Linked DNA regions of Astyanax mexicanus. The protein of the gene in region 1 purifies or fractionates together with the protein of each later gene. This does not show direct contact. Links are inferred from orthologs where the notes say so. Each region holds a gene or a part of one and is shown on either strand. Other genes may lie near its edges. The genes, in order: clcn4, tmem9 and tmem9b.

The links.
Region 2: the proteins of clcn4 (region 1) and tmem9 purify together in Homo sapiens (co-immunoprecipitation; 3 studies listed by BioGRID and IntAct, with this or other methods). This does not show direct contact. The link is inferred for Astyanax mexicanus from reciprocal best matches to the Homo sapiens genes CLCN4 and TMEM9.
Region 3: the proteins of clcn4 (region 1) and tmem9b purify together in Homo sapiens (co-immunoprecipitation; 3 studies listed by BioGRID and IntAct, with this or other methods). This does not show direct contact. The link is inferred for Astyanax mexicanus from reciprocal best matches to the Homo sapiens genes CLCN4 and TMEM9B.

The regions. Positions count from the first base shown.
Region 1 is NC_064423.1:30,793,891-30,801,049, forward strand, and holds the start of clcn4 (H(+)/Cl(-) exchange transporter 4), read left to right. Parts: upstream 1-4,102; 5' UTR 4,103-4,261; coding exon 4,262-4,277; intron 4,278-5,350; coding exon 5,351-5,505; intron 5,506-5,648; coding exon 5,649-5,748; intron 5,749-6,848; coding exon 6,849-7,036; intron 7,037-7,159. UniProt on the Homo sapiens protein: Strongly outwardly rectifying, electrogenic H(+)/Cl(-)exchanger which mediates the exchange of chloride ions against protons.
Region 2 is NC_064419.1:42,482,531-42,490,177, forward strand, and holds the start of tmem9 (transmembrane protein 9), read left to right. Parts: upstream 1-4,544; 5' UTR 4,545-4,639; intron 4,640-5,962; 5' UTR 5,963-5,973; coding exon 5,974-6,066; intron 6,067-6,234; coding exon 6,235-6,326; intron 6,327-7,152; coding exon 7,153-7,261; intron 7,262-7,420; coding exon 7,421-7,552; intron 7,553-7,647. Other genes in the region: histone-lysine N-methyltransferase SUV39H1b, read right to left, coding at 4,036-4,054. UniProt on the Homo sapiens protein: Transmembrane protein that binds to and facilitates the assembly of lysosomal proton-transporting V-type ATPase (v-ATPase), resulting in enhanced lysosomal acidification and trafficking.
Region 3 is NC_064423.1:41,763,291-41,770,739, reverse strand, and holds the start of tmem9b (transmembrane protein 9B), read left to right. Parts: upstream 1-4,402; 5' UTR 4,403-4,593; coding exon 4,594-4,671; intron 4,672-6,612; coding exon 6,613-6,704; intron 6,705-7,309; coding exon 7,310-7,418; intron 7,419-7,449. UniProt on the Homo sapiens protein: Enhances production of pro-inflammatory cytokines induced by TNF, IL1B, and TLR ligands. Has a role in TNF activation of both the NF-kappaB and MAPK pathways.

The DNA.
Region 1 (7,159 bases):
AGGCCATACATTATGGGCATTCCAGCAGGCTAAAGCGGTGGAGCTCACTGGTTCAAATACCGGTCATGCAGCTTGCCATCAGCAAGCGAGCACCATTGGCCTTGCTCTCTCTGGGTGGGTAGATGGCACTCTTTCCCCTCATCACTCCAAAGGGTGCTGTCGATCAGCACAAGGCGTCTGTGAGCTGGTGTATCAGATTCGAGTCGCTGCACTTTCCTCCAAGTGCGCTGTGATGCTACTCTGCAATGCTGCATCAGCAACAGTTTGAGGCGGTGGCTGACTTCACATGTGTCTTCACCCTCTTTGTGTTGTGGCATCACTAGTGATAATATTAAATAAATAAATCAATAGGGAAAAGCCCATACATTTGCTCGTACAATATCTGCTAGCTTAGCCTACAGAGTTTTACTGAAGTTATAGGGAGTGCTCATGGTATTCTTGAGGGTCCATATCATGTAAAACAAAATATAATATAATAAAAATATAACTAATATAAACAGTTCTTATATACTTTTTTTCTTTTTTGCTTTGTGTGTTTCCCCACAGCAAAGGCACATATAAAGCACATATCATGAGTCCTCTGTACTCGAAACAGACTGTTATTGGATACCAAACCAAACCTGGGTTCTTTGTTAAAGGTCAAGCTGTTCCAGTCCACAACTTGCTCATGACACCATCCATGGTTGATGGATGGCCTGGATGGCAGGCAATTCATCTAAATGACTTCTCTCTGCTTCTCTTAGTTCAATAATGAGCAAAGTCAAAGTCAAAATGCATTTGAGAGCATTATAGAGACATGTAAGTCTCACCAAGAGATACACTACCCAAAAGTAGCCTATGGTAGTCTTATGTTCGCACTACATATGGTTGTTGGGAATTAGGAAGCTCCGGGCCTAGAGACTGCGTGGTGTGTAGTTAGTTATTAGCTAGCAATCAGTATATATATTTGAGAGTGGGCTACACAAAAGCTACTTTACAAAGCCTGGTCACACTGCTGCTACTCCTTCTGTTCATACATAAAGGAAAATTACAGCATGGAGTTTCTTAATAATGTTACAGGAGTAACATATATATATATATATATATATATATATATATATATATATATAAAGAAAGAGTTATCTTCTTTTAATGGTTACAGCTACAGTTACAAACTCCATCAGGGACAGTAAGGGAACAAGAGGGATTTAATACGCCCATAGTCTCATCTGGCTTTTACACTGCATATGGGGTGTAGATGGGACTCATATGAGATTAAGGCCGGCTGTAATGATAAGGCCCATTTGGGAAGCCCAACCTGAAGTATTTGAACTTTTTTAATATGTGTGACCTGTGTATTTCAGCCACCGTTACTGATGATATCTTGGTTCTATAAATCACAGTGCACCTTCAGAGGTCGTGTGGAGTTTTGGATCATATTTTTTTATTTAAAAAATAATTTAATATATATATTTTTGATCATTTCATCTGATAGTTGGTTAGTTAAGCCTTTGAAAAATAATTTTCCTATCTCAGAAATGATCACAGCAACTGTCAAGCAGTTGATGGGATCTTTTTTGTCATTGTCATATTTTATCAAAAATGATGCATTAACATTAAGATTTATTTTTAATATTTTAGGACTGTATCGTAAATTATACATTCCGCCCAATAAACACTTACCTTTAACTTATTTATTCTTATAATCAAAATGTTAAGAGAAAAGTATCAAATAACAGGGATTAAATCAAAGTGACAGGGTTGACAATCCACATTTTAATACAGTTTGGATCTATTTAATGAAATTAATTAAACATTTTAGAAGTTAAACTGTTGAGCCTGGCAATCTCTATCTGGCAATAATACATGTAATTTAGGCAAAAAAAATGGCATTTACTATTATTTGTTATTTTCTCAAAAGATAATGTTGCAGGAAATTTAAGGTCACTAGATTCAAAGAATCACCTGTTGGTTTCTGTTGAATTTTTTTCTATATGGTAAAGGAAGCTCTAATGACTTTTCTTTGCCCATTTCATCTATATACCTCAATAAACCACAACACTAGGGGTAAAAAATGTGCAATTGCAATGGAAAACTGTTCACCTCAAAGAAACAGAAAGTGTTTGTGAAGGTTGTGACAGATTTTATCTTGTGGGAGAACAGCACGGAGAGTTTTCTAGACCACAGGTTTCATTATCAGCATTAAGATTTACTCTGTAAACTCTGGTAAAGCAGACATGCCGACACTGTTGGGCACAACAGGCTCAGTTCAAATGTTTCACTGTGTAGTTTTTAAAAAAAATGCTGAGTGTAACATGTCTGCAGTGACTGCAAGTGTGAAATCACATCTGTCTACTCCCCATGTTCTCAAGTTTCTTACGACAGGCGTTTTAAAAATGCTGAGAGCTAACAGAAACAAACAAAAGGCTTTTCTTGCAGGCCAGCCTGAGACACGGGACTGCGCAGGCTGTGACGTCTGCTGGTAGGAGGCTAAACACGAAAGGCTCAAAGGGAAAACACATATCAAACACATGCAGTTTAACTCTTAACTCTCTTTCTGCCTCTCACTCACTGTGACCTCTCACTCACTCTGACTCTGAACTGTTGTGAAACATTATCTAAAATAAGCATAAAGATAGCAAGACATGAATTTTATTAGCCCATAGCACTAATAAAAAATCTGTTTATAATTTACAAAATCACAATGATAAGAGCTTTCAGGCTGATGATGACGAGGGTGTGATCTGTAATGACCATGATAGAGAAGGCCTAAAGCCCTCCTTAGAGCCGCTCTCATAGTAATAACAGCCTTCAAAGTTCATACAGGGTTAGAACAGGCCACAGTAGTGTATGAGCTAATCCTGGCACAGACACTGTATATATGAAATAATAAAAAAAACTCTCTAAACTACAATCTAAAGTAGGGCTTGACAATATTTCTTAAATAGTGATATATTTAAAATTATTTTATACAAGACACAAAAATAATAAATATCATATTACCACCTGTGTGTGATTTGATTCCAAAAAGTGTAAATTGTTTGGTTTTCAGAAGAATAAAAAACTGTTCTTGATCTTTTTACGGTCACAGTGTGTTGAAATAATTTCTTGTTTTATATTATAATAGTATTATAATGAATACTTATACAATCTGAAGGTAAGTTCAACTGTGCTATAGACGAGGGTGATGTTTCCATGTAATTTGGCACGCAGACACAATATGACAATATGCAGATCAGTCAATCAATAGTAACACCCCCCTGCTGACGCCCAACCATCTTTGTCTCAACACTATCAAAGGCACACTGCTGCTGCTGCAGCTCAGCCAATTAGCTCTTCCTCCTGCCCTGCCTCTAAACCCATACACCACCCAGTGCCGCTCCCAAACTACCCCTCTCATTTTTTAGCCTTTTTCAAATTTAAGTTGAGGGTGAAGTCAGCTAAAATAAATGGTTTAGTGCCCCTTTAAAAACCATTAAATTAATGTTGGTACAATGTCAGGATTTTTATTAACCGATGCCTAGTGTTGAATAATTTAAAAAGATTGTTTAAAGGTTGTCATTAATCTTAAATCAAAACAACAACGTTTATTCAATGTTCTTTTTTATCAGGGAGCTGTGAGATAAGAAAAAAAAACAATATATAAAAAAACAATGATATAAAACGTAATTTTATTATTTTTGAAGCTGTTATAGTGGTACATTATGCAAAAGTGAATACAAAATAAACTTTTATCATTTTTGAAGCTGTTATAGTGGCACCTTATGTAAAAGTGAATACAAAATAAAATTGTATCTTTTTTGAAGCTGTTATAGTGGCACCTTATGTAAAAGTGGATACAAAATATAAAATACAAAATACAAAATAAAAGTCTAAAAAAATGAGTGAGAATAGTTTCGACCTAATATTTTAAATATATATTTAAAAATAAGTTTAAATAGTAATATTACTATTAGAAAAAATATGTGGGTTCAGCTCCAGTGTTTTAAACTGTTTTTGGTGTTTCTTTGTTTTATGCGTAGATTTTCCTCGGTGTTGACCGTCAGTAGCGCACCCTGCCCGGGCTGCTGTGTGTGAGTGGAGCGCAGAGCTGCATGCTGGGAGCGCGCAGGGTCTTTTATATACTGCGCGCGCTGTCATTATTATTACTACACTAATAAATATAATATCTATTATAATAGCTATGAATTCCACAAAACCTCTGAGCGTTTAAGTGCCGCTATGTAACAGGCAGCAGCCGTTTGTGTGTCTCTGGATATAAAGCTATAATATAAGAGGCTAAATGGCGGAGGCAGAAGGTAAGCAGCCGCTATGGATGTTACCCAAATATAGCTTAGCTTAGCTAGCGCTAGTTCACCTGTCTCACACTCTCACTCCGTTCAGCTGTTCAGTTTACTGAGTTTAAATCCTTATTTCAGATATTCCAGTCATGTTGTTGTCCTAGAGAGGGTTGTTTTATTTTCGTGTGGGTTTGTTTTCAGTGCCAGCCGGGTGTCTGTCCTCTCTGACAGGCCGTGGAGCTGCTGGTGTTTATTTTATATTTTTAAATTTTCGCACCGTATTATGAATAAACCTGTCCTTAGCTAGATATGTGTATAAAAATGACAGTAAATGTAGCTTACAGAGTTTCTAGTTTAACTAGTCTGGCGTGATTTTCATCTTTGGTGGTGGAACTTTTATTTTGCTCTTTAGTTCCTCTAAGCACCTGCTCTCGTCTTTAGGAATAGATGGATTAGTGCATTATACCCTCATATAGGGCTTTATACGCTCATATAGAACATTATACACTCATATAGGGCTAAATACACTCATTTAGGGCTATATACACACATATAGGGCTATATATACAGTTTTTATAGGGCTGTTTACACTTATATAGGGCTATATACACACTCAAATAGGGCTGCATACAGTCATATATGGCTATATACACATATGTCATGCTGTATACAATCATATAGAGCAGTATAGACACACTTTTATAGGGCTAGATACACAAATATAGGGCTGTATACACACTGCATACAATTAATTAAATAAATAAATATATATATATATATATATATATATATATATACACACACACACACACACACATATATATATATATATATATATATATATATATATATAATGCATACAATTAAATATCATTAATTAATACATAGCCTATTAATATATATATATATATATATATATATATATATATATATATATATATATATATATATATATATAGCGTGAAAACTTTTTAAATTGACTAATTAATTGAAATTAAATCTTACTATTTTGGTTTCTTATCTTAATGACATAAGTATTACGGCTTCTGATAAAATGATTATGGTTAGATAATTTTGTGGCTGTCTCTTAGGGGTTAGCAGCGCCACTCCCACCGAGGAGATGAACGGCGCTGGGAACCTGATGGACTTCCTAGATGAGCCTATCCCTGATGTGGGAACATATGAAGATTTCCACACCATCGACTGGCTCAGAGAGAAGTCCAGAGATACTGACCGCCACAGGAAGGTAAAATGTGTATAAACAATGTATCTCCCAGTTGTCAGTCATGTTTTAGGTCATAATGGCTCCCTTCAGCTTAATGAAGGTCCATGTGTTGGGACTTGATCTTGACATGCTGTGGTTTAACGTAATTGTAATGTTTTCTGTAGATTACACACAGGAGTAAGGAGTCTATTTGGGAGTTTGTGAAGAGTCTGCTGGATGCCTGGTCAGGATGGGTGGTGATGCTGCTCATTGGGCTCCTGTCAGGTATGGAAAGTTAGTGGAAGCTGGTGATGGTCTTTTCTGCCAAATGCTTTGCAAACAGGTTTCAGACCAGTAACTGCTCTCCACATGCTGGATTCAGTTCATTTTCTACTTAACTGATCTCTGTGCATTGTTACACGTGACTTAAAAAAAATCACATAGGGGTTTTTTACCCAAACAATAGTTGGATTGTACTGTTGGATTTATTGCTGTTGTTTATAGGTACACATGGTTTCACCAAATCCTTTTGTTCTTTTTCAACAGTAATAGATGACAATTGCCAGAAGGTTTATATCTTTATTATAGTTATATAGTATAGATTGAAGGCTGTCACATGGTGATAAAGTGCAGCTACTGAATCTGTGGTCTGCAAAAACCAACAAACATTTCTTGTTTATTAACCAGGAAATACTTATCACATTTTCCAAGATAAGCTCAGTGCAATCGTATTTCCTTCTCTCGTGGTTTGTGAACCCCAGACCACTGTTTTCACAAGAACCATGGATGGCACCCAGGCTCAAAAGTAGCTTTTGCACTCCCGCAAACTTAGCAAAAGCTTGGACCACACCAGAGCTTACTTGAAGTGAACCCCAGTTTTTTAGAAGAATGCGGAACAATTGTACTTTTTCATAAGGACCTACTTTTGTATCAAATACAAATGTCCTTAATTTGTAGTGAGAACAGAGTTGCACAGTCCAAAAAAGCTGAAAAGTGCCCCTTAATGTACAGGATGGAGTTATTTTTAAGTTGCATTTGTAGCATTTTTACCTTGATTAACAGCTTATAATGAGGAAAACAGCACTGCTTCATGCTTTAATGCACATACTGCTACTCTGAAAAGTTTTAAAAGCTTGTTAATAAGCTTGTCAGGTGGACCAGGTAACTGGACAGATAATCAGGATGGAACAATTAAGAATAAAGAGTAAAAGAATATAGAATACAGTAAAAATGCAATAATAATAAAACCACCATTGCACTGCAGGTAGTCACATGGTAATTGCAGGCCATATTAGTTACAGTACAATATGTAAGTGTTCTACTAATTCTAAAAGCAATAATGAGACTGTATACATTTTTATGCCTCTATATCTTTTCTAATTCAGGCACTCTGGCTGGAGTAATAGACCTGGCTGTGGACTGGATGACTGACCTTAAAGAGGGAGTGTGTCTGTCTGCGTTTTGGTACAGCCACGAGCAGTGCTGCTGGACCTCCAACGAGACCACCTTCGCCGACAGAGACAAATGCCCCCAGTGGCAGAAATGGGCCGAGTTGATGACTGGATACAATGAGGTAGAAAAGCTGGTTAAGGCTACAATTTGTGTAGATTAAAACATTTTATATATTTTAGTTATTTAAATCTACTGTTATGCACCCCAATCTTAAAAATAGCGTTATGAAAATTGATCATGAAGT
Region 2 (7,647 bases), on another chromosome or scaffold:
GTACAGTCAACAACCTTCACCTGAATGTGGACAAGACAAAGGAAATGGTTGTTGACTTCAGGAGAGCACAACACACCCACTCTCCACTCAACATCGACGGGTCCTCTGTGGAGATTGTTAAGAGCACCAAGTTCCTTGGTGTCCACTTAGCAGATAACCTCACCTGGACCCTGAACACCAGCTCTACAGCCAAGAAAGCCCAGCAGCGTCTCTACTTCCTCCGGAAGCTGAGAAAGGCCCGTCTCCCTCCACCCATCCTCACACTCTTCTATAGAGGGACCATTGAGAGCATCCTGAGCAGCTGCATCACTGCCTGGTTTGGGACCTGCACCGTCTCTGACCGCAAGACCCTCCAGCGTATTGTAAGGACAGCTGAGAGGATCATCGGCGTCTCTCTCCCCTCCATCACGGACATTTACACCACCCGCAGCATCCGCAAAGCAACCAGCATTGTGAATGACCCCACTCATCCCTCACACGAACTGTTCTCCCTCCTGCCTTCGGGAAGAAGGTACCGCAGCATCCGGTCCAGCACGACCAGATTCTGCAACAGCTTCTACCCCCAAGCCATCAGACTCCTCAACTGCAGAGACTGAACTGATGGTTTTTCTGTACATGCACACACACTCTTACCCCACTTACCCCAGAAAATGGAAAGCACTAAAAACCCTACTACCTCACTGGACTCTATTGCACACTGTGTAATAGAGGTAATTACTACCTCACTGGTCTTTTTTGCACACTTTTTGCACACTGCATAATTTGCACACTGTCTTGTTATTTATTATTCTTTGTCTGTATTGTGTTGTATTGTCTGTCTGCACTTTTGTACTGTTGCACTATTGTTCTGTCTACACTGTGTTTATGTGCACCATGGTCCCTGGAGGAACGTTGTTTCGTTTCACTGTGTACTCTGTATATAGCTGAAATGACAATAAAAAACACTTTGACTTTGACTTTGAGTATCATGACCTTCTGGATCATTGACTTCTGTTACAAATCTGATAAAATTATTTTTTAATATCTCAGTTAGCCATATCATATTGCATGCAATAATACAATTCAAAATATTTTTTTGAATTCAGTGTTTTGTCATATCGCCAAAAGTATTGTTATGAAAATACCATGAAATATCTTGATATTATTTTAGAGCCATATCGTCCACCCCTACATCAGGATACTACTTTTTTGCTGTTTTTAGCAAATGAAAAAATTCACACTGTTCTCATTTCCCACAGACAGATTATATTTGTCCAGTATCATTTATTTTACTTTTTCTAATCCCGGATATATGGATATATATGGAGTGCACTATTATTAGTATCATGACATTCTGGATTATTGACTTTTGTTACAAATCTGATAAAATCCTTGTATTTGTTTATGTCTCAGTTAGGGGTGTTCCTTATCACATGCACATGTTATTATCATATGCAATAAAAACATTTAATTTTTATTTTGTTGTAGTAGTGTATACTTGAAATATATATATATTTTTTTATTCAGTGTTTTGTCATATCGCCAAAAGCATTATTACTGCGAACTAGAGTTGCACGGTGTACCGAAGGTTCGATTCTTTTTCGATACTACGTCATCACAAACGATTCGGTTCTTTAGCGTTCGATGCTTTCGATACTGTATATAGCCCAGTCACTAGCTTCAAATGAGTCAAATTAGTAGGCGCGATTTGATTCAGTTCATAAGAAAACTGATTCACACCGCAGCAGTCGGTGTGGCAGGATTCAGATAAACTTAGTGTTCTGAACAAATGAATCGATTCACGTGTGAATCGATTCATTTGACTCGGTTGAGAGCGACACACGCACGCGCAAGCCAGCAGAGCAGCAGCGAGAGAGAGCAGCGGCGAGTGTAGAATGGCGACGGCTAAAATAACAGATGTCTCTCGTCCGCGACTTGTAGACAAAACGGGCGCGAGGAGTGAAGTGTGGGAAAATAGTCTGAGATGTAGGCATCTGTTTTTAATTTATTTTTATTTTTAAATAAAATAACGAAAACTGAAAGTGAAACTAAACTACTTTATTTATTAGCGCTGTTTTCACTCCCGCAGTTGTACAGCGGGGGGTGTTGTGCCGATTCTGTCCGCGAAGCGGGAGTCGGATTCAGTAGCGAATTCGGCACAAGCGCGGCGGCCCCTCGCGGTCCGCGGTGTTAGTTGTAAGCGCTCGCGCTAGCCGCAAAATACGACAGAAAACACTGAGGGAGCTGCAGACTTATGTGTGGGACTAGAATATGCGCACGAGGAGATCAAAGAGAACCTTTACCTGTGAGTAGCTCACATCAGAACACGCAAATCTCTCTCTCTCTCACTCTCGCTGTGTCTCTCTCTGTGTCTCTCTCTCTCTCGCACGTGAACGCCTCCGCGTTTGACCTGCAGCACTGTGTTTAGCTGTTCTTAAAAATCATTTTAATTAAATAATAGTTCTATGCTTCTATGTTACAGTGTTATTTAACATAATTCTGATCATATTTCGCTCATTCATTTAGCAGACAAGCACCCTGATCTCTACAAAGAGCTGAGAAGTCGACAGGTTAGTGGAGTTAGTCAAGATACACTCTGTCTGTAGCTTTACTAAGATTTTCTAGCGACTGCTAGTAAATCACGTTAACATGGAGAGGAGTGTGCAGGAGTTTTGTTTTGGACCCGTGGTTTTCTCTATTTCTCCATTATCCCATTGGCTGTGAAACATGAACTCAAGATGTTCACGTTTTCGCGTTTCCATCGCAAATCTGTGGTCAGGCACGTAGCCTGCTTGCTCGTTACACTGAACATGGGCTTATTAATTATGTTATAGTTAAGGTTATAATAACGAAACTTGTTTTTTGTTCAAATGTTTCATTTTAGAATAAAAACGTTTGCACCGATTGTTCAGTGTTCAATCCAGTTCTGTCAAAAATAAACAGTTTATGTTCAGATATTTTTATTGTTTTTTTTCTTCCAAGTATCGTTTTGGTATCGAGAATCGTGATACTACAGTTGGTATCGGTATCGAAGTCAAAATTTTGGTATCGTGACAACCCTACTGCGAACATACCATAAAATAGTGTGATATTTTAGGGCCATATCGCTATCACTACTGTGTAATTATATTATATGAATCTACAATGTAGAAAATACATTTAATAATTAAACAAAAGAAAAACACTGAATTAATTTAATTAAAATTACTTTAAGGGCCAGTTTCTGAAATGGAGAAAAAAATAAAAAATAAATAAATAAATAATAAATAATAATAATAATAATAATAATAATAATAATAATAATAATAATAATAAGCGGGCTGTATATATATATATATATATATTTATTTTTATTTTATTTTTTTTAATGGGAAATCTCAATTCAAAAGGCTGTGTAGTCACTGTTTAGGATTGTACCGCTAAGGATGTGTGCTGCTGGTATTATTAAGCTACTAGAAAGACACATGTAGTTTATAGCTGATATGATTTTAGGCTAAAACTGCTGGATTTTGTAATATTTTAAGTACTTTAAACAGACAGACACTCCTCAAACCATTAGCTACCACACAATACTACACACAGGCCAGCGGGCTAACCGGCAGCGGAGAGAGGAGCACAGCGTGGAGCGGTTACTGAGAAAACCCAAATAATTTACAGTTAATCTAGTAAAACAAATCAGCTGGCACCAGTTTAACCCACAGTTATACAGAGTTAAATCATGATTTCCCGCTGTGATTATTAACGTTACTCTCAGACTGTATTAAACTCAGTCCCGGGCCCGGTATTACTCCGATCCTCTGATAATCTCCTCGGTTTGGCGCTAACTCCGCCGCTGCTGCTGCTCCCCCACAACAACACACTGCTTTAAACTAACCAGCGAACAGCCCGTTAAACTACAGCGATTACTGCACTATAAACAACCCCACCCACACAAACAACGCCTTATACTCACTAAACTACACAAACACAACTCCTCCAACCGCCGCTGGTCTCCGCTACTAAACCTACAGCACGAGAAACACGAGTTTAAAGAGTTTAACCCCAGCGATTTCTTACCTTTCAAATCTTCCGCCATCTTCCTACTACCGCCAAAATGGAATATTAAAATACCGCACGCCGATTGGACACGGAGCTGTGTGATTGACAGCTAAATGAACCAATAGGAACAAGGCTTTCCAACTCTTACGTGCATGACGTAAGATGTGTTGGTAAAAATATGAAAAGTCAGTTTAATCCGTGCTTAATGTACAAATTAAGCTTCGTATGCAAAAAATTGAAAAATATAATTATTTTTATTTTTGTTACATTAAATTATTGCATTACATATTTATAGCTAACAATTTAATGTAAAATATATATATATATATATATATTACATTTTATTTCATACAAAGCTTAATTTGTACACAACAATTTTGAGCAGAACTTGAGCAGATACTAAAAAGAGCTTATTTTTATTCGGATTTTTACTTTCTGGACCTGAGTTACCTTCCTCTAGGTGAAAACAATTAAAAAATTAAGATATCTAAATTAAATTTAGAAATAAACCTGCGCAGTTTAAATATTAGGACTCTTATTTTGAAGTGTGTAACAGCGGTTACAGTTGCAGAGTCGGTTGCTCTGTTTCGGGTATGGTTACAAGTTGTTAGCAGGTCTAAAGGTAAGCAGTGTTTAATATCTGGAAATTTTCTGTATTAAATGTATGTATAGAGTGTGTTTACAGTGAGGGTGGAGAGGGTAGTGAATAATATATTCTGCGTAAGGAGATGATTAAGTTCTATGTATCTCTTGATGTATCTCTTGTATCTCTTGATCCTAGTCTACAAACTAGCTTTGGGTATCTTTAAGTAACTTTGAAGCACTGTTGTAAGTCGCTCTGGATAAGGGCGTCTGCTAAATACCGAAAATGTAAATGTAAATGTAAATGAGCTAAGCTATCTGTAGCTGTTTAGCGTTGGCTATGGCAGCTAAGCTAACGGCTAACCACAGAGACTGAACTGCAGAAGTAACTAGGCGTCATGGGAGAAATTTAACTAATAAAACATTTTAATTTGTTTTTATAAGCATTTTAGCCCCGGAATTTCATAGCATAAAGCTTCATTACTACACATGAACTTTACACTGTTTATTTAAAAGCCTCACTGTTCACCAGTGTACTGTATATCTGTGTAGTATGTAGCTACTACAGCTCTGTAAAAAAAATAACAGACCACTTTACTTTCTGAATCAGTTCAACTGATTTTGCTATTTATAGGTTTATGTTTGAGTAAAATGAACATTGTTGTTTTATTCTATAAACTACAGACAACATTTCTCCCAAATTCCAAATAAAATACTCATTTACAGCATTTATTTGCAGAAAATTAGAAATGGCTGAAATAACAAAAAAAAAGATGCAGAGCTTTCAGACCTCAAATAATGCAAAGAAAACAAGTTCATATTCATAAAGTTTTAAGAGTTCTGAAATCAATATTTGGTGGAATAACCCTGGTTTTTAATCACAGTTTTCATGCATCCTGGCATGTTCTCCTCCACCAGTCTTACACACTGCTTTTGGATAACTTTATGCCACACCTGGTGCAAAAATTCAAGCAATTCAGTTTGGTTTGATGGCTTGTGATCATTCATCTTCCTCTTGTGTATATTGTAGAGGTTTTCAATTTAGTCAAGAAATTAGGAAAAAACATCATAACTAATTAATTAACTAAGTGGTCTCTTAGTTGTTTCCAGAGCTGTGTATATATATACTTCCTCACATGTGAATACTAATGAATTTGTCATTACTGTTTAAAGACTGATCATTTTACAGGGTCACTAATCAACTAACTTCAACTAGATTCCTATTGATCGAGATTGTTTCTTATCATGTTCTGTCGCAACACACAGCATGCACAACTCCCAGATTTGAATTCTAACATGGAAAATTTGGTCAGTGACTGTGAAATCGCTTGAAAAGCTGCATAATTTGTGTTTTTTATTGCAGAAGGGACCACAATGTTATGCAGTATTCGAGGACTCGGTGCTTCAGCACTGGGTTTGCTGGCTTTGGTTTTCTTTGAAACTGTGTCCAATGCACTTGCCAGTAGAGTAAGTTTATGGTTCTATATCGATTTCTTCAATTCTCTCCTGTTACAGTTTAACAGCTGATGTATCATAACACTTGTGCCATTAATATCACTCTTATTATTGGATTTTGACATTCATATTTCGGATCTAAATATGGTATTGTTCACCACTGTTCTTTTCTTGTCTTAGAACTTTGAAGATGTTCGTTGCAAGTGCATCTGTCCTCCCTACCGTAACATCAGTGGCAATATCTATAACAGGAATGCTACCCAAAAGGACTGGTGAGTTTCATTTCGTTCAGCATCCACAGGGGACTAATGTGCACCCATTTTATTTCAGTGTGGCTGTATGCTATCAAATTCTCACAGAAGCTTTCTCAGATTAATACAGACTGTTACTGCAGCAAAATTAGATGAGCACAATATTAACACCATTGAGCCCTGAATAATTGTATTTCTGCATACCTTTAGCCATTAAAATATGTACTGTAGAATATGTGCACATGGACAAAAGTATTGGGATGCAAAATCAAGGGTAGTAATCCTGCTCCAAAAAGTCTATCCTGCTTTTGTATAAGTAACTGTCTCTACTGTACAGGGAAACATATTTGGTTGCGTTCAAGGAAAAGAGCATTATTGGATGATCACCACCCTATCTTATTCCCAACTCATCCCAAAAGTAATGGATGGAGCTCCATTATTGCAGGGAACACTGTTCCTCCACTGACCACTTTAGCCCGTACATCGCATTAAGAATAGTGCAATCTAGTTTGGGTTTATCTGCTCCAGAGAGTTCTATTCTATTGGCAGTACTTCTCTACAGTGTGCAGATCTGTCCTCAAAGATAAATGTGCTTCTTAGAATAATCTTAAGTACTAAATAAAACATATTCTGGTTTCTTTACCACTTTTTGTTTCCTAAATATTTTTGCATCTGTTTCTGTGTAGCTTTAATATAGTCTTCAATATTAAATTTTCAATGTAAAAAATCATAAAAAGAAAAAAAAAAACACATTGAATGAATAGATTTGTGTCCAAACGTTTGACTGGTACCGGATGTATGTATGTCTATAAGTCATTTTAATTACATGTTTTGTGTGTTTTTATAGTAATTGCCTGCATGTAGTGGAGCCCATGCCTGTTCCTGGTCATGATGTGGAGGCTTACTGTCTGCTCTGTGAGTGCAAGTATGAGGAACGCAGCAGCAACACCATCAAGGTATGTATGTTCCATTAATCTGTTACTGGTTACTTTCTAACTAAAACCAGGTGTGAACAGCTGTGTGCTTTTATCATTCGTAATTCATGATCTGATTGGATCACCCAGGACGTGTGTTAAAGCCAGGTGTGAACGTGTATTCTTCACTGTCTTTCCCAGGTCACCATAATCATCTACCTGTCTGTGGTCGGCTCTCTTCTGCTGTACATGCTGTTTTTGCTGCTGGTGGATCCGCTGATCCGCAGACACGATCCGTACCTGCAGCCACTGCAGAATGAAGAGGATGCTGAGGTACATGCCCTCACGCCTGTATTAGCACTGTAGCACACTTTATAACCAAATATTGATATTAAATGGATATTATGCTGTCAAATTTAACCCATGCA
Region 3 (7,449 bases), about 11 Mb from region 1:
GGAAGCCGATGCTGCAACACACTGTTAACACTTCACAAGAATGCACACTTCCTTTTCCAGCTCAGCAATTTCAGTGCAGCACTGGTTGTTAAGTAACTTTAACGGTTGCAATGTTTGCAATGCTTGTGTTGAATCTCTGATAGAAATGCTGTTCTAGTCTGGTCTTAAAGGAGAACTCTGGTGTAAAATGTACTTTTGTTGTAGTAAAACATGATAAAAAGTTCTTATCTTTGATGAATAGCACACCTCCGCTCTCCCACAGCGTTCAGAGATCCAGAAATTTTAACAGTTTATCCAACAAACACCCTTCAGACTGGGAGATACGGGGCATAATTTACCCTGATAAATCACTTTTTACACCGTTATCCAGCTCAAAGTAGCTCCACACCTCCTTACTAGAATCTGGAGAGCCCTGATATTTAAAACGAGGCATTAATAACTTAGAAAGTGCACAAAAAGAAGCTTATTAAAATCCACTGTTTACATCCCGTAACACTACTAGCTGCCGCCGCCATCACTGTACTGATAATGACATAGACATATATATACATAGACTCTGCATTGCATCTATAGAATCTATGTATATATATGTCTGTCATTATCAGTACAGTGATTGCGGCGCTCAGAGCTGAAGCTAGTAGCATTATGGGATGTAAACAGTGGTTTTTAATAAGCTTCTTCTTCTGCACTTTTTAAGTTATTAATGCCTCGTTTTAAATATCAGGGCTCTCCAGATTCTAGTAAGGAGGTGTGGAGCTACTTTGAGCTGGATAACGGTGTAAAAAGTGATTTATCAGGGTAAATTATGCCCCGTATCTCCCAGTCTGAAGGGTGTTTTTGGATAAGCTGTTAAAATTTCTGGATCTCTGAACGCTGTGGGAGAACGGAGGTGTGCTATTCATCAAAGATAAGAACTTTTTACCATGTTTTACTACAACAAAATCCATTTACACTATTTTACACAGGAGTTCTCCTTTAAAGGAACAAAATGTACTTTATTACAGCAAGCATGTAAAATAGATAACGGAGTCCAATTTCAAAGCTTTCTGCTTGAACAGAACCTACAGGGAAGAAAAAGCAAGTTCAAGAACGCTTTAAAGGGCTTTCAACACTGTACTCTGATAATAATTCGATCAGCTAATGTATATGTTTGTATAAGGTTGCGATGTATGCATTATTCTTGCAGCATTATAAACCAGCAGATATGGAGTTTATATAACTTTTAGCTTTTTAAACTGTTAGCTAGCTGCACCGTTATCTTAAAAAAAGACAATTGAGGAGAAAATGAGCAGCTCAGCATCCGTCTTGTAGTCCTTCTGGGATCCAAGCGATCTCCATCTACTGGTGTTTTAAACTATCTCTGCTCATGTAGAAGAAAGATTTTTAAGAAGATGCTGAGGCTACAGTACACCAAAGTTTACCTACGCTAGTGTGTTCCATACCTGGCAACCTGATAGAGGTAGTGGGCGTGGTTTAAGACTAAAACAGAGACAAACAGGTTTACACTCCATATTGAACAATTAATGGAAGAACCTCCTAGCTAAAGCTCTGCTGTCTGTGTGATGCAGGGGCTTAAAGTTAGCATTAGCTCTTTTACTGCTACTAAAAATTAGGTCAACAAAATTGATCAACTGATCACTGATCAGTTTCTGGGAATTTAACGGTATGTTTTGACTACAGGAATCTGAGCTTGGGCTACTTAACGCTACTCATTTATGTTACAGAGTTTAAATTAAAGTCTATATTTTTATGTCTGTACATCTAACATGTAAATAAAAAAACAAATAAACCTGGTATTGTTTCAAATCTATTTAAAAACCGATGGGTGGGAGAGTAGAATGAAGTAACTGTAGTAATAATCTGTGTAATAAATCAGGTTAAACTGTACCTGAACAGCTGTTTAGCTCAAATTAAAGGAGTATATTTGATAGCTGGGTCAGATCGAGACTGCATTACGTTCTCGTGTGGTGGGTGGGTCTTTAAAATGTAGCTCCTCAACCACAGACGCAGCTCCTCCTCTGTTGAAGGTGTGAACGGAAGTTTAACGGAAAATGTGGGTAAATTTTTGTACAAAATTAATTCTATAAAAATCTGTTTATCCATTGTACATGCGTTTTACTGTACGTAGATAAAAAAAATTAGTGACAGGACAGGGACACTTCAGGGGGCCAATCAGGTTTCAGCTTGGGCCAAAATGTCATTGTGGCCCCGTCCTTACGTAAAACTGTATCAAGCTTTATTAAACTCATATATTATGTAGATGTATTACACACAAAGTGATCTATTTTAAATGTTTATTTATTTTATTATTGATTATTATGAAGCTTACAGACAATAAAACCCAAAAGTCAGTGTCTCAGAAAATTAGAATATTATAAAAGACCAATTGGTACTTTTGGCAGTGTGGGCAGTGTGCCAAGTCCTGCTGGAAAATGAAATCCTCATCTCCAAACCATCACTGATTGGTGGAAACTTCACACTAGATCTAGTCTAAAGTAATTTCTTCTTTTATGGAGATGTGGATTTTATTTTCCAGCAGGACTTGGCACACTGCCCATACTGCAGAAAGTACCAATTGGTCTTATATAATATTCTAATTTTCTGAGACACTGATTTTTGGGTTTTATTGGCTGTAAGCTTCATAATCATCAATAATAAAATAAATAAAGGCTTAAAATAGATCACTCTGTGTGTAATACATCTATATAATGTGAGCTCCACATTTTGAACTATTAAAATAACTTTTCAATGATATTCCATACCTGTCAAGTCTCCCGTTTTGGCCGGGAAGCTACCGTATTTTACTCCTCTTTCACGCCGTCCTCCCGTATTATTATTTTCCCGTAAATTTCCCGTATTATATTAAAATAATATATATATATATATATATATATATATATATATATATATATATATATATATATATATATATTATTGAGGAGACAGGGCACTGACCGCTCTGTGTCTCTTAACCAATCGTGGAGCCGGTTCAAGGAGAAAGTCCCGCCTTTCAGGAGAAACAGCCAATCAGCTTGCAAAGGAGGGTCAGTGTGGGGAAGCCCCCCGTCGCGGTGAGTTCAGGCAGCTCGTCGGAGCAGCTGATGATAAAACCTATCTGTATATACAGCGATTTTTCTAAAAGAAATGTAACTGTAGGCTAATGGAAACTATGATGAGATTTTTCTGATAGCTGCTTAAAAATACTCATCTCCGAAATAAAACACACAGATTAAACCTTTTAAAATTATAAAAATAAAGTTTGTGACTCAGTTTAACTAGAAATTTGTAGAGGACCGAAATGAACTGAACTGATCAGGGGTGGAGTGATCAAAAGAAAGAAGTATTAATTAAAGATTATTAATTGTGTAGGCCCATTAGGACTAATTTTTACTGATGGAATATATCTGGTCCTTGTCCTTTTAGTAAAAGCTCATGATACTATTTTTTAGGTCACCTACAGTCATTTTGTAGAATTTGTGCACCCTTTGTTCAATTTTAAATCCATTAAATAAAAAAATATATATATCATATAAAAGAGTGCATTATGCCAAAAAAGCCAAGACATGAAATCTTAACTTTTTTTAAAATATCTAGATAAGGATTTTTAATTTGGCTGCATTAAAAGAATGACATATGTAGGATTGTCCACAACATTTCAGATTCTGATAATCTAATTGTAGTGTGTAAGTGTTTCACATGTGGTTATTTTAGATTTTTTTTAAACCTGTCTTAAAATGTAAGGGATACTGAACCTTCGTTGGGGATGGTGGGACGGCTTTAAGTGGACAGAGGAAAATATCCCTTATTTTTAAATCTAAAACTTGACAGGTATGTGATATTCTATTTTTTTAAGATGCACTAGTATAAAAATAAAAAAGAGAGCACTTCAGTTTCTGAATCAGTTTCTCTGCTTTTGCTATTTACAGGTTTATGTTTGATAAAAATGAACATTGTTGTTTTATTCTATAAACTACAGACAACATTTCTCCCAAATTCCAAATAAATTTATTGTCATTTAGAGCATTTATTTACAGAAAATGAGAAATGTCTGAAATAACAAAAAAGATGCAGAACTTTCAGACCTCAAATAATGCAAAGAAAACAAGTTCATATTCATAAAGTTTTAAGAGTTCAGAAATAATCAATATTTGGTGGAATAATCCTGGTGGTTTTTAATCACAGTTTTCATTCATGCATCTTGGCATCATGATCTCCGCCACCAGTCTTACACACTGCTTTTGAATAACTTTAAGCAGTTCAGTTTGGTGGTTTGTGATCATCCATCTTCCTCTTGATTATATTCCAGAGGTTTTTAATTTGGTAAAATCATTTTTAAGTGCTTTATTATTTTTTTCAGAGCTGTATAGTTCCTGTTTTTTGGTTCCTGTTGTTTGAGGGGGGAGTGTTATTGGTGCTGCACAGGGTGCTGATGATCAGCTGATGTGTTGGTAGTGCAGTACTGATTACACTCGGTTATTAATCTGATCTTTAGCCTTTAGAACCGTCCAGAACCCGCGGCTCCGGTTCTGATCGGCTCCGGTTCTGATCGGTGTGTGTGAGCGGGGTGTGAGCGGAGAGCTGTGCGGTAGAGAGATGCAGGCTGCGGGCGGAGTGCGGCTGCTGGCGCTGGGCTGTGTTCTGGTGCTCTCAGCGCAGCTCGCCGAGAGTAAGGTAAATAATCACATTTAATTATTAATATTAATATTAATAAACATTAATATACACTATCAGTTATTAAATATACCATTCTGTATCAGCGTCTACACCAGGATACCGTTTACATATAAACATCACTAGGCTAGCTACTGTACTTAGCTTCACTAGCTAGCGCGCTAATGCTAACTCTGTAGTTATCAGTGTAGTAACTAACGTTATAGCTATATGACAGCGGACTGTAAACCCAGTTAGCCAGCTAGCTTTAGCTAGATAATAACACTAACTCTGTAGTTATCAGTGGACTTTAAACCTGGTTAGCTTTAGCTTTAGCTAGCTCTGTAGTTAATCAGTGTAGTAACTTAACTAACTTATATAACAGCGGACTGTAAACTGAGTGACCAGCTAGCTTTAGCATTAGCCTTAGCTAAATAATAACTCTATAGTTTACCTGGTTAGCTTTAGCTTTAGCTAACTCTTTAGTTAGTAATGCAGTATATAACCTAGTTAACTGTGGGCTTTAAACATAGTTAGCTTTAGCTTCCTAAATTATTCTCCTTACTCATTTTTCAAGTTTTCCAGAAAAACTTGAAAAATGAGGTTTATAACGCTAACGTCAGCTAGTTAACGTTACACTAAATGTCATTTCGACAATTATCTTAAATAAAAATCGCCTTATTCTTTTATTTTTCACTAAAATTGTTATAGTAAAAAAACAAAAACATATATGACATGTTTTATTATCAGCTTTAGCTAGCTGCAGTTAGCAGTGTAGGCTAGAACTGAGGGCTTTTAACATAGTTAGTCATAGGTTTAGCCCTAGTTTTAGCTTTAGCCCTAGTTTTAACCCTAGCTGTATTGCTGGTTTTGGATTCAGTCCTAGTTTTAGACCTAGCTGAAGACATAGCTTTAGCCCTATCCATAGTTTTAGCTTTATTCCTAGTTTTAGCTTTATCCCTAGTATTAGCTGTATCCCTAGTTTTAGCTTTATCCCTAGCTGTATGCCTAGTTTTAGAGTTATCCCTAATTTTAGCTGTATCCCCAGTTTTTTACCCTAATTTTAGTCCTAGCTGTATTCCTCAGATTTAGCTTTATTCCTAGATTTAGCCCTAGCTGAATCCATAATTTTAGATTTAGCCCTAGCTGTATCGCTAGTTTTGGCTTTAACCCCAGCTGTATCCCTAGTTTTAGCTTCAATCCTAGTTTTGGCGTTAGCCCTAGCTTTATCCTTAGTTTTAGCTTTAGCCCTATCTATATGCCTAGCTTTAGATTTATCGCTTATTTTATCTGTATCCCTAGTTTTAGCGTTAGCCCTAGGTTTAGCCCTATCTGTATCCCTAGCTTTAGCCCTAATTTTATCTGTATCCCTAGTTTTAGCCCTAATTTTGGCCGTAGCTCTAGTTTTAGGTAGATAATAACACTAACATCAGCTAGTTACACTTACTGCCATATTGACACTTTTTTTACTTAATAATCTCCTTAATCTTTTTTTTCAAGGTTGTTCAGAAACTCAAAAAGTATATCAGGGTTTTTAAGGGAATTTAGATTAAGATTAGGCATTGTGCACAAAGGTACCTGGTACCTGAGTCCTATTCTTTTGGCAGTACTGTGATTTAATGTATTAATTAAAAGGATGTCTGCAGTTATTTGGATATGTAGCTGGTTGGGTTGGTTAGCTGATAAAGTGTGGTTATGTTTCTTTATCCGCCAGTAGTGCAGAACTCAGGTTAAAAACAAAACAAGGGGGCTAGGCTCTGCCACGATATTTACATTATCAACTAATTGTACAATAAATTGACATGACCTTAATAATATGCAATAATGGTGATTTTTAACAGTGAACAGTTTTTTGCCCTGCCCTTACCTGTGGCGTCTTGTGATTGATACACAGGGTTTAGATATTTCCCTTGTTAATCTTGTTTTTTTATGTTTCTATGTTGTTTTTTTACTCTGTTTCAGAACTCTGAAGACATACGATGCAAGTGTATCTGCCCACCTTACAAAGAGATCGAAGGACAGATCTACAATCAGAACGTTTCACTGAAGGATTGGTAATCCATTAAACACAATCTGAGAATCTGCTTTTCCACAGGGGATTAAATTTAGCTCTGGGCTGTTCAGAGAGCTGCACAGTGCAGTGAGCCTGACACGATAATTACTTTATTGATTTATTGTACACTATACCCGGCACAACCTTTGTCATTTCCGCTGAACTCAGAATTATTATTAATGTTTATAAACAGCCCAGATAGGGATTGATGGACGGAGGTTTCCGGTTGAGAGTACCGTTTTTTTTTTTTTTGCACTATAAAGTGCATTGTGCGACACTAGTAAGGAACAGGGGTGTCACCATTTTTTCCTACTAATTCAGCAGGTCTTGCCACTGGGTGGCGGATCTGTAAAGCTAAGCTTAGTTAGGTAAACAAAAAATTCCCTTCTAATTCTTAAATACAATAACAAATGCAGTAAATACATTTTTCTCAACTATTTTTTTTTCTGTAATACCTAATATTATATTTTCTTAGGATTAAATTCTCTGTTGTTACTGTTATGATTCCATCCTTTCCATCGTTCATTCCTACATAAATTCGAGTTTTTAAATCGTTAACGTAATTGTTGATTGGTTTATATTTAACATTTATATTCTTGTCCTCAGTAACTGCCTGCATGTTGTGGAGCCGATGCCGGTGGAGGGGAAGGATGTGGAGGCGTACTGTTTGCGCTGTGAATGCAAATACGAGGAGAGAAGTTCTGGAACCATTAAAGTGAGTTTCTGCTTCTAAAAACTAAGATTAT